2 linked regions of the Schizosaccharomyces pombe genome follow. Changing the gene in region 2 together with the main gene of any one other region gives a genetic interaction. Each region holds a gene or a part of one and is shown on either strand. Other genes may lie near its edges. The genes, in order: bag102 and SPOM_SPAC24B11.07C.

What was found.
Region 1: mutations in SPOM_SPAC24B11.07C (region 2) and bag102 together harm fitness less than expected from each alone (positive genetic interaction), as found in Schizosaccharomyces pombe (one study listed by BioGRID).

The regions. Positions count from the first base shown.
Region 1 is NC_003423.3:789,843-794,060, forward strand, and holds bag102 (BAG family molecular chaperone regulator Bag102), read right to left. Parts: upstream 2,242-4,218; 5' UTR 2,038-2,241; coding exon 1,417-2,037; 3' UTR 822-1,416; downstream 1-821. Other genes in the region: protein ksh1, read right to left, coding at 1-54, 124-175, 248-357, 396-398; Tea1-anchoring protein Mod5, read left to right, coding at 3,419-3,478, 3,707-4,218. UniProt on the Schizosaccharomyces pombe protein: Inhibits the chaperone activity of HSP70/HSC70 by promoting substrate release.
Region 2 is NC_003424.3:208,339-213,585, forward strand, and holds SPOM_SPAC24B11.07C (oxidoreductase), read right to left. Parts: upstream 3,086-5,247; 5' UTR 2,694-3,085; coding exon 1,008-2,693; 3' UTR 501-1,007; downstream 1-500. Other genes in the region: COPII-coated vesicle-associated protein Erv46, read right to left, coding at 3,696-4,868.

The sequences.
Region 1 (4,218 bases), on a different chromosome or scaffold from region 2:
TGAGGAACCGAAAATAAATCGTAAAGCCATAAAAACACAAAATAGTGATATATACTAAAGATAGATGTTAGATCTAGCCTTTTTTAAAAAGGATAATTAGCTAGTGAAATAGCTAAAACTCACCGGACTAGCTCGCTCACCAATTCGAGCGCATTTCCAGAATACCATTGTCACGCTGTCAACTTATTAGCAATTCCATATCCCTCAAAACTAAAATATTATATATCTAATAATCATTTAGGCTTACCCTTCTTTTCTTTTTTCTAATAAAGCAGGGAATTGACGGTGTAAATAAGTACATGTGCAGATCGTTAATAGTATAACGAAAAGCAAACTTTCAAAGTTAAAAATGGCAGTCTAACGGTTAATGTTTGTCTTAAAACAAAAATAGTTACCATTTTATTATACTCTGATTAAAATTTTCAGCTTTTAAAAAGCATGTAATTTCTGTGTTCATATATGAAACATACAATGAACTTGAAGTATGCTCACTTGTTCACATTACGACACACAAGACGTTGTAAATATTTATTACGAATTACAACGCATATTATTCGTGTTCTGATACACCGATAAATACCGATATATAATATTAAAAATATATTGAATGTTGGTGGACAAATGCTAATATATGTATGACTTTTCAGGAGGGCTGTATAAAGTATTTGAGGAAATTAAACTATTTATAAATGGGAAAGGGGAAAACATGTTACATAAATATTGAGTAACGTTTAATAAGTCTACATAATACATTGACGATGCAGTCAAGTCAAATAATAATGATAAAATACTTTTAACCTTAGTTTTAAATAGACATGGTTCTTAAATTTCAAAATAACCAGCTGTTCTAAATTTCACTCTTCGATATTAATGGTATAAAACATTGGAACGTTGAGTTTTTGTTAAGTGATTACGAAGGAAGTAAAGGATGTGGAGTTGATATGCTAGAATTGGTATACAGTTTTGAAATCCATTTATCATAAGAAAAAGTATTTTGAATTTGTAACACTATGACTATCCAACCTTCCGGAAGAAACAAAAAGCAATGACGAATGTTTACAAAAATTAATGATACGGCTGCAGTTGAGCAAATGTAAGAAAAAACAGTTGTAACGACAAAAATAGAAAATATGGCATTATGAATGCTTAAAGATTATGTATAAATTGAGAGTAGAACAGTTTAATAGTTGAGGAGCAAGCGGTATCAAAAAAAGAAAAACAAAAATTCAAGCCAGCATAAAAACTTAAAATTGGGTGCTACAAGTTGTTTGCAGAACCTTGGTATAGAAGTTGTTAGAAACGGAAAAATATTGTAGGAGTTGTTTAGTCAATCAGTTTTTACATATCCAAAAAACCATAGCCGACGGAACCATCGTCTCCCAAGCAACTAAGAATTGTTAAATTATAACACATTTTTCATTTGTTTTGATTCTTGGTGGAATCTAGTTTACTCAAATATTGTTGAGATAAACGAATAGCTTCTTTTCTTTTAAGACGAGCTTCTGGGTCGTCTTCAACATTAACAGCATCTAATTTTATCATCCTAGCCAACAATGTTTCACTAAGGCGTGTATGCAAATCTTGAACATCTTGTGCCGAAGCGGGAGACGATTGGCAGAAGGCTTCAATTTTAGGGACGAGATCCTGTTGAAGCTCATCTATATATGCTTCAATTTGTTGCATTGCCGGGCTCAGTTTGGGTAATTCGAGCTCTAATTCACTTCCATTTTGCACATTTTGGTCGGAAAGTGAACCATCCTTGAGGGTCACCCCGTTTAACTTGAGAGACGCTTTGTCGGGCATTACTGAAAATGCGTTGCACACGCGACGAAGAAAACTAGTGTAAGAAACCATATTCAGCCTTGGTTGTCGCAACACAAAATTCAACTTTTCGCCATCGTAATGAACAACGACAATATCTTCGGTTTCAGTAGCTCTCTTTTTCAATAATGCGCTAATCAAAACAGTAACTGACAATACAGCTAGAGAGATCCAATATTTTTTATCCATAGAACACAACTGGGTAAAAAAAGACATGTTGATTTCTCGATGCTTTTTCCTAAAGTCAAATGAATGAAGAAGTGATAAACCGGTCAATAAGCAAGACTAAATAAGTCTGGGTCTTTATCAGATTTCCTTGGTAAATGAAGGAACTGGTATATAAAAATTTAATTGCTAGATAAGAGAGAGGATGTTTTAAATTGGTGAGTTGCTCTCGAACCAATTTCGCATTTGGTGGTTACTATGTAGGTTGTGGAGATGATAGTGTTATGAATTCTTTGAAATGTGAGTTTCTCCTATACAAACATGATAAGTCCGAAAAATGATAATTAAAAAAAAAAAAAGCTGTTTGTTGCCAAAATCTTATTCTTTTTGTTTTTGTTAAAACTTCTGCTGCAGTAGACTGACATGTTGACCTCAAATATCTAGTTATCATTTACGTTCATGCATCAAATTAAACTAATTCAGTTTCGTAAAGATCTTGTTTTTTCTCTTTTTAAGTTTAATTTTTGTTTCTTTGACAAGGAAGGTACCGAAAAAAGCAATCCATGGGATGTGTTTGATAATTGAACAAAGTGTGAATCTGACTTTAACCAGAAGTAGTAATGCTCTAATTTTTTTTAAGAGAATAAGTAATACTCTAAGGATCTTTGATTGCTTTCGGCGTAAATAATTGTTTATTTGTATGTATAACTTTATTCTGAAAAGCAAAGAAGAAGTTTCATATAAATTCATATCAGCAAAAGCGCATTCTCGGTTGATTTTATCGTTTAATGGTTGAATTCTTGGGTATTTTATACCTCAACTATTTTTTCAAAATACTCTTCAATAATTTAGTGGGTTCTCCCATTTGATCGATTCAATTGTTGGGGACTCAAATTGCATAAAAATTGAAGAACAGGATATCATGCTGTAAACAATTCTCCATTTCAACTTTCATTATTGTTACTCGTCTGCAATACCTGGATATATCAACACTTACTCCATCACTGATGTGCTTACCTATCTAAGAGTGCATGTTCTTGGGGACGTCAAAAGTTATGTTTCCATCTTACATGGATAAAGGAATCAGCTCTATTTGCTCTCAAGGGTAATTTCTATTAAATATCCATCTATTTCCTACACCTGCCTGAGAACTTGCTCGAATTATTTTTAAAAGAATATTTTAGCTATAAAAATTTTCTTGTGACCTTTTAATATTATGTTTTTCACCAATTGTTCCATGAACATTACTAAAAAGAGGGAAATATTCTTTTACAAAATATTTAACACGATACCAGCTCAACTGAGGAAATTAGCGTCGCGATCCGCGTACTACTAATTGTTAGCCAAACACCGGTTTCCCAATTCCCAGTTTTGGATATTCTTTTTACTCTCTTTTTTGGCTCTAATTGATCTTTTTCTTTTATTTGATTGCATGTCGGCTTTATCTGAAAGCCCTGCTATTCCTTCTTTTTGGAGACCTGAGACATCCGAGGTATGCTAATTTTTTAAGAAGATCAGAGGTAGTTTCTCTTATTCTTTATGTAAGACATGAAAGTTGCACCTGTACGCAAATTGCAGCTGTTCAATTTGTTGAATGGAGCCTTTCTTTCCGAGTACTACCCTATCTTGCCTGTTTGAAATAATGATTTGCTAACAAGTGTTGCTTGGGCTGCCCCCTTTTCACTAGTTAAGGGTTCAGCTTGCTGGCATTAATGATTAGATATCAAAAAAACCTCGACCAAACACTACCGTCGGATTTCAATTCGATAATAGAAATGTAGGTACAAGTGCTCCTTCTACTCCTGCTATCCGGAGAAATAATACCGATAGTTTTGAACGAGGTCTTTCTTTACCATTGCCAAGCAGCAAGCAAGATACTGGTTCAAGTGTACTAGATCCAGACGGAGATGCATACGTAAATCGATATGCTCGTCCTGTTACAGCAGGTAGTATTTATATTCCAAGTAATTACCACAAGTCTTTTTCTCCCAATACGTTTTCTGGGTTTAATGTAAAGAGAAGCGCGTCTAAATCTCCAAAAAGAAGTGCCAATGGTTCAACGTCAGAGGATATTAGCATTGAAGGATCTCCCTCTGAAACAGCCAAGGGAGCTAGATCATCTTTTAATAGTAATTTTCGAACCTTTGACATTGGAAGTGAGCGCCGAAGGAGAATATTGGAAGCATCACAGGACTCATCTCGTCCGGGAAGATACTCTTATAGGACAAAAAG
Region 2 (5,247 bases):
TCTTACCAAGGCTTTGTTGTCCAGATCTGAGATGGGTTAGTTGGTAAAGTTGTTAAGCCAGCTTTATTAGATCAACTTTTTTAGCTATTTGAGCTAGTATTCATTATTGAAATGTGTGTTTCAAGGAAAAAGTCTTGTAAGCTAACCCAATTTGTCTTTTGACAACAGTTACTGTTGAAAAACCCGTTCAATTATAGATCTGACATTTCATTTGATCCATAATGCTCGATTTCGTAGTTAATTTGCTTGTTTGCCTCTATTAGCCCAGCGTCCGCGTTTTGATTTCTTAGCGAGTTGTTAATATTATGGTTTCACGATTAGGCATTAATCGGGTCTGTACCTTCCACATTTTGGGACGAAATAACCAAGGATAATTAGGTGCAACAAGTCATTTTCCATTTCAATTTTCCTTTTACTTTATTAAAAAATTTTTAATTAAAAAAGTTTGGACAAATACCATTTAAAGTCTACGAGGAAATAGGACACAATACTACGTTAAATGTATGTTTCAATAAAAAATCAATTCAATAAAAGGACAAAAATTAAAAGAAGGGAAAATCGAAAAAAAAAAGAATGTGATGCCGAAATTACCATACGGCTCAGTGAGCAGATAGACTAAAGATACGTATTATATGGAATTCTTCGCCAAAGATACATGCAAAATGTAATAAAAGTTATATATATACATATATGATAGACTTATACCAAATTGCTTCCATGGCGGAGATAACCAAACGGGGTAAAAACAGAGTACTTTTAAAATATAGACCAGATTAAAAAGAATGAAATTATGCCTTCATAAATTTGATGCAAATGAACCCAATACGATGAGTGCTAACGCGTTATTCTTAGCGCAAATTGTTCGGAAGAAAATAAAAAAACATAACGTGATCCCCAAAAGAATGCTTAATAATGAGTCAGTAGAATTCAAATCAATAAAAGTTTAACACGACAATGCTTTTATAATGATAAAGGAATGAGGAAAACTGTGGCTCCGAAAGAGAGGTCTACGATTTCATGCGAGAAGTTCCACGAGCTAGCGGAAAGCGACGCATCGCATTAGGTATAACCGTCATTGACGATGTCTCAGAAGCCACAGAAGCTCGAGGTTCTACTCCCTTATTGTTGTTCATGAGAGTAAAATACGTTTCGGATTCACCACTGTCATCAGTTTCACCGTTTCGCGATTCCGCAGAATTAGAGTTGGAATTTGGTCTTGACAATACTTCATTTCCAAGTGATTGAGAAGACGAATTAGGATCACTTGGCGTACCAAATCTTGATGACTCAGGTGATATATTCTTGTGCGTATGCTCTTTAGCTTCAGGGGATAACACGTTTTTTCCACCACGAACAGGAGGTGAACCTCGAGGAGCAAAACGCGGATCAAAAGTTCGACCCAAGCCCTCATAATCACTCTTTAAAGACTGTTGCATTTGCATCAAAGAAGGAGAATACAAAGAACGTCTAGAGCGACGAGTTGTAAGAGACAACATATCCATATTGTCAGCAGTCATTGCTCGTCCTTTTGAAAGGGACGGAGCAGAAGGAATTCTGCCCATATTTGGCTTACCATTTTCGGGAACAGAATATGGGTGTAAAGGTGAATGTCGATCAGAAACGAAGGATGATGGATTAATAGGCCGCATATTAACCAAAACTTTGTTTTTCTTAGGTGAATTGTCCGTGGGCCCATGCATATCATTCATGTGATGTGGTTGAACGAGAGGAAGGTGTTGAATACTCGAAATTAATGCACTTATTGTTCGTAAACGAGGAACTTGGAGGGATTGTTTAGTAGCTAAATCAATACAATAATGTAAATACTGTACAATTTCAACAGGGCGGTTTGATCTATATTCTCTAAAAGCCGGATTCACCTGCATATGCGAAAGTAATGTTTCGCGTTGCTTGGAAAGTTTTTTTACATCCAAGGAGGATCCAAGGCAGTTACACAAGCTATCAAGCTCTTGTAATATACCTTGGTGCAAGTCATTGATATCGGGACGTTCTAAGAGCTTGGGCAAATTGGGATTTTGCGTGAGTACAGTTAATGGATAAAGAGAGAGGGGTAAAGCGAGGTCCTCAATTTCCAAGGGAAGCAATGTATCCAATATTTCAGATGAAATTTCTCCACCTTCCAAAATCTCAACCAACCTGGAAAGCTGGTCAATTTCGAGATTGGAACCAGCAGGAGCTAAGTAAAACGGAGCGCAGTCTCCAAAGAAAAATTCATCTACAGAACGTTGAGATACAGGTGTATGAGTAATGAGAGAAAAGATAGGGTTTTCAGGATATTGGCGTTGCAAAGCTTCTTCAACCCCAATGGCACCAGTAGAGTTATAAACAATACACGTATGCTTAGCAGTGATCACCGGTTCTAATATGTTGGACAATTGAAAATTGCGAGAATTAGGTTTGATTGAAACAAATACATAATCGAAAGGCTCAGAATCAGAGGTAACCTCTTCAAGCTTAGATAAACGATACGTCGGACGGTATTTACGAGTTCCGAATTTTTTCGATTGAATAGTGAAGACGTTAGTAGAAGGCTCGGGGGCATTGAAAAACATTATAGTTTCTTGGCATGTCACAACTGAGCTTTGCTGTAACCTCCAACCTAATAAAGTCGTGATGGAAGGGCTACCAACACACAAAATGCTGACACGCTCCTTTTTTCCTGCGTCAGTCATTTCAGTAGCAAATTAAAAATGACTCTTCTTAAAAAAAAATTATATTTACACTTTAAAAAAAAAACTCAATCGTTGGTTTTGGATTTCTTTTTTCGAGTTGAATTCGTTTGTTAAATCTTTAATAAACTCCACGATTCCATGCAGCTCTAATAACGACTATACTAAAACCGTTTTCACACGTAAATCGAAAGCTTTTCTAAAAGTGATTTATCCAAAGCAGCAAATTGTGGTTTGCTATTTTTCGAAACCGTTTCTATAGGATCACACCGTACAAAAGAGCGCTAATTGTAAATGTATGTATTTGGAAAAGGGAAATTGGTTTCCAATGGAAACGATCGGTTTTCCTTGTGGCTTCTAAGACGTATGATTGTCGGTCTCGGGGTTATGCTTATGGTAGAAGAGCGTGTATGGATATGACAACTCATACCATTCCGCTTGGCACGATCTTCCTTGGAGTGCACTAAAAAAAAACTAAAAAAATTTTGATCACTCGTACTACAAATAATACTTATTTTTATTAATACTTTAAGACAATTCAATTCATTTTAATTTCCTTTTTATTTAAAATGCTATAGAATCAAGACAATACTTTAGGTTCGGAAAGCGAATATATCTAATACTATATGTCCTTGTAAAATTGAATACACCAGATAGAAAGATCTTTATCTTTGTATGTTTAATTAGAAAGAAGACGAGTTTAACATTAAAAGAAATGAATTGAGATGTAGGGAAAGAAAGTGCGTGGTTCGTATGCTCTTCAATGTGAATATAGCGAGTGGTTGTTTGCTAAACGAGGCTAAAAGCAATTTGTGATTGATAAGCGAGTCATGAAATATCAAGTGGTATCAATTTGGAATAGTATAGGAAATAGAGTATCTAAAGTTACAAATCAGGCACTTGCCATGGAAACCGATGGTATTTACATTGATCGATAGGACCAAACAGAAGAAAAGAAAAGAACGAAAAACAAAACAAAACAAATTTAGTGCATAAACAATCTGATCAATTTTTCTTTAACTTTTGAACCTCATAATAGCCTCTATCAACAAACGAAGCAAGTGTAACGCAGCCCCCAAGCAAAGCTAAAACATTACTCAAAAATCCACCAAAGGTATTGCCACGTACTTGACGTTCAATAACACGCATAGGACTAATATCAAATTGAAACCATACACCAGGGATTCCGCCATGAAAGTTAACATGGGTAGGGACTTTTTCTTCACGACCGCCACGAATAGAACGTTCATGCTGTGTGACAGCATATTTGTTTGTGTCTATGGGAAGTGTGCTCTTAGACAAAGGCATGAATTGGTAGGAAACGCACTTAATAAAATATTCGTAGCGATAATCGGCAGTGCTTACCTTTTTCACTGTTCCATCTAAAGGATTGGAATAGTGGACAGACGCATCTAAAGGAGGGCCGAAACTAAGATGATGGATGGAGTGACTCATGTCATGCAAATCGAGTTCATTAATGTAGTCACGTGTATCATGAACATGCTGATTTCCGTTTTGAGTAGATCGTCCAGGAGCAATGTGGAAATTACCGGCCATTCGATTGACGGAGAGCTGACCAGCCAAGTTACAACCTTCGACCTTTTGAGCTTCATAAAGCTCCTTAAAGTTTTCATCTTTACACTGTTTAAAGGCATCAACGTCACCAATTCGCCAGTGTGCCTTACCGTACGCATCTCGAACGGCATCACAGGTATTGCAACAACCTGGGGTATCTTCAGGAGCAAAGTCGGCTGCCCCATAACAATCACCACATTCAGCGGCTCCGTCGTCAGAAATAGATTGTTGATTTCCAATATCCAAATCATCAACGCTTATAATTTCGCCCGAAGGGCTCAACCTCGTTTTAGAAACGGTATGGTGGATGTCACGCTGGAATTCACCACTGACATCCAAGACATCGACAGTAAGTATTTGACAAGGGATACGGGGGAAGGTGATGTTAAAATTGATTTCCATTCGATCGCCATGTGAGGGATTGACGATGATTTCATGGACTGCGATGACTCGCCTGTAATTGATCCATTCCATGAGAACAATAAAAATGACAATAAGTCCGGAAACGAGTGTTATAAGACCGCCACTAGCAGTTTTTATGCGAGCATCTTCGACAGTTTTTTGAAAGGCATCAAAACGCCTAAGGGGTGAACGGAATTGCATTTTTTGAAACTATCGGTCGATAGATACGTTTTTGTAACAATAATACAGAGGAAAAAAACGATTATATGGAGAAGCAGTTCTTTGAACCAACTTGAAAATACTTTTTTTGGATTAAAGGATTAGAAGGGCCCACCTCAGTGGTTCCAACTATGCACGGTTATGTTAGAGCTTTGTGAAATGCTGACCACCAAATCTTATATAAAATAATGTGCTTGAACTTGAAAAACGATCATTCCCAGAATGAAATATTTGGAAATTGTCGAAACAACTTGACTAAGGGGGCTTGAGGTAGTCGGGGAAAGTATACGTTGAGGGTCAACCCAAGCGCAGGACTAGAAGTAGGTTAATAGACAGAGGTGCAAAGAGGGATTGAATTAGT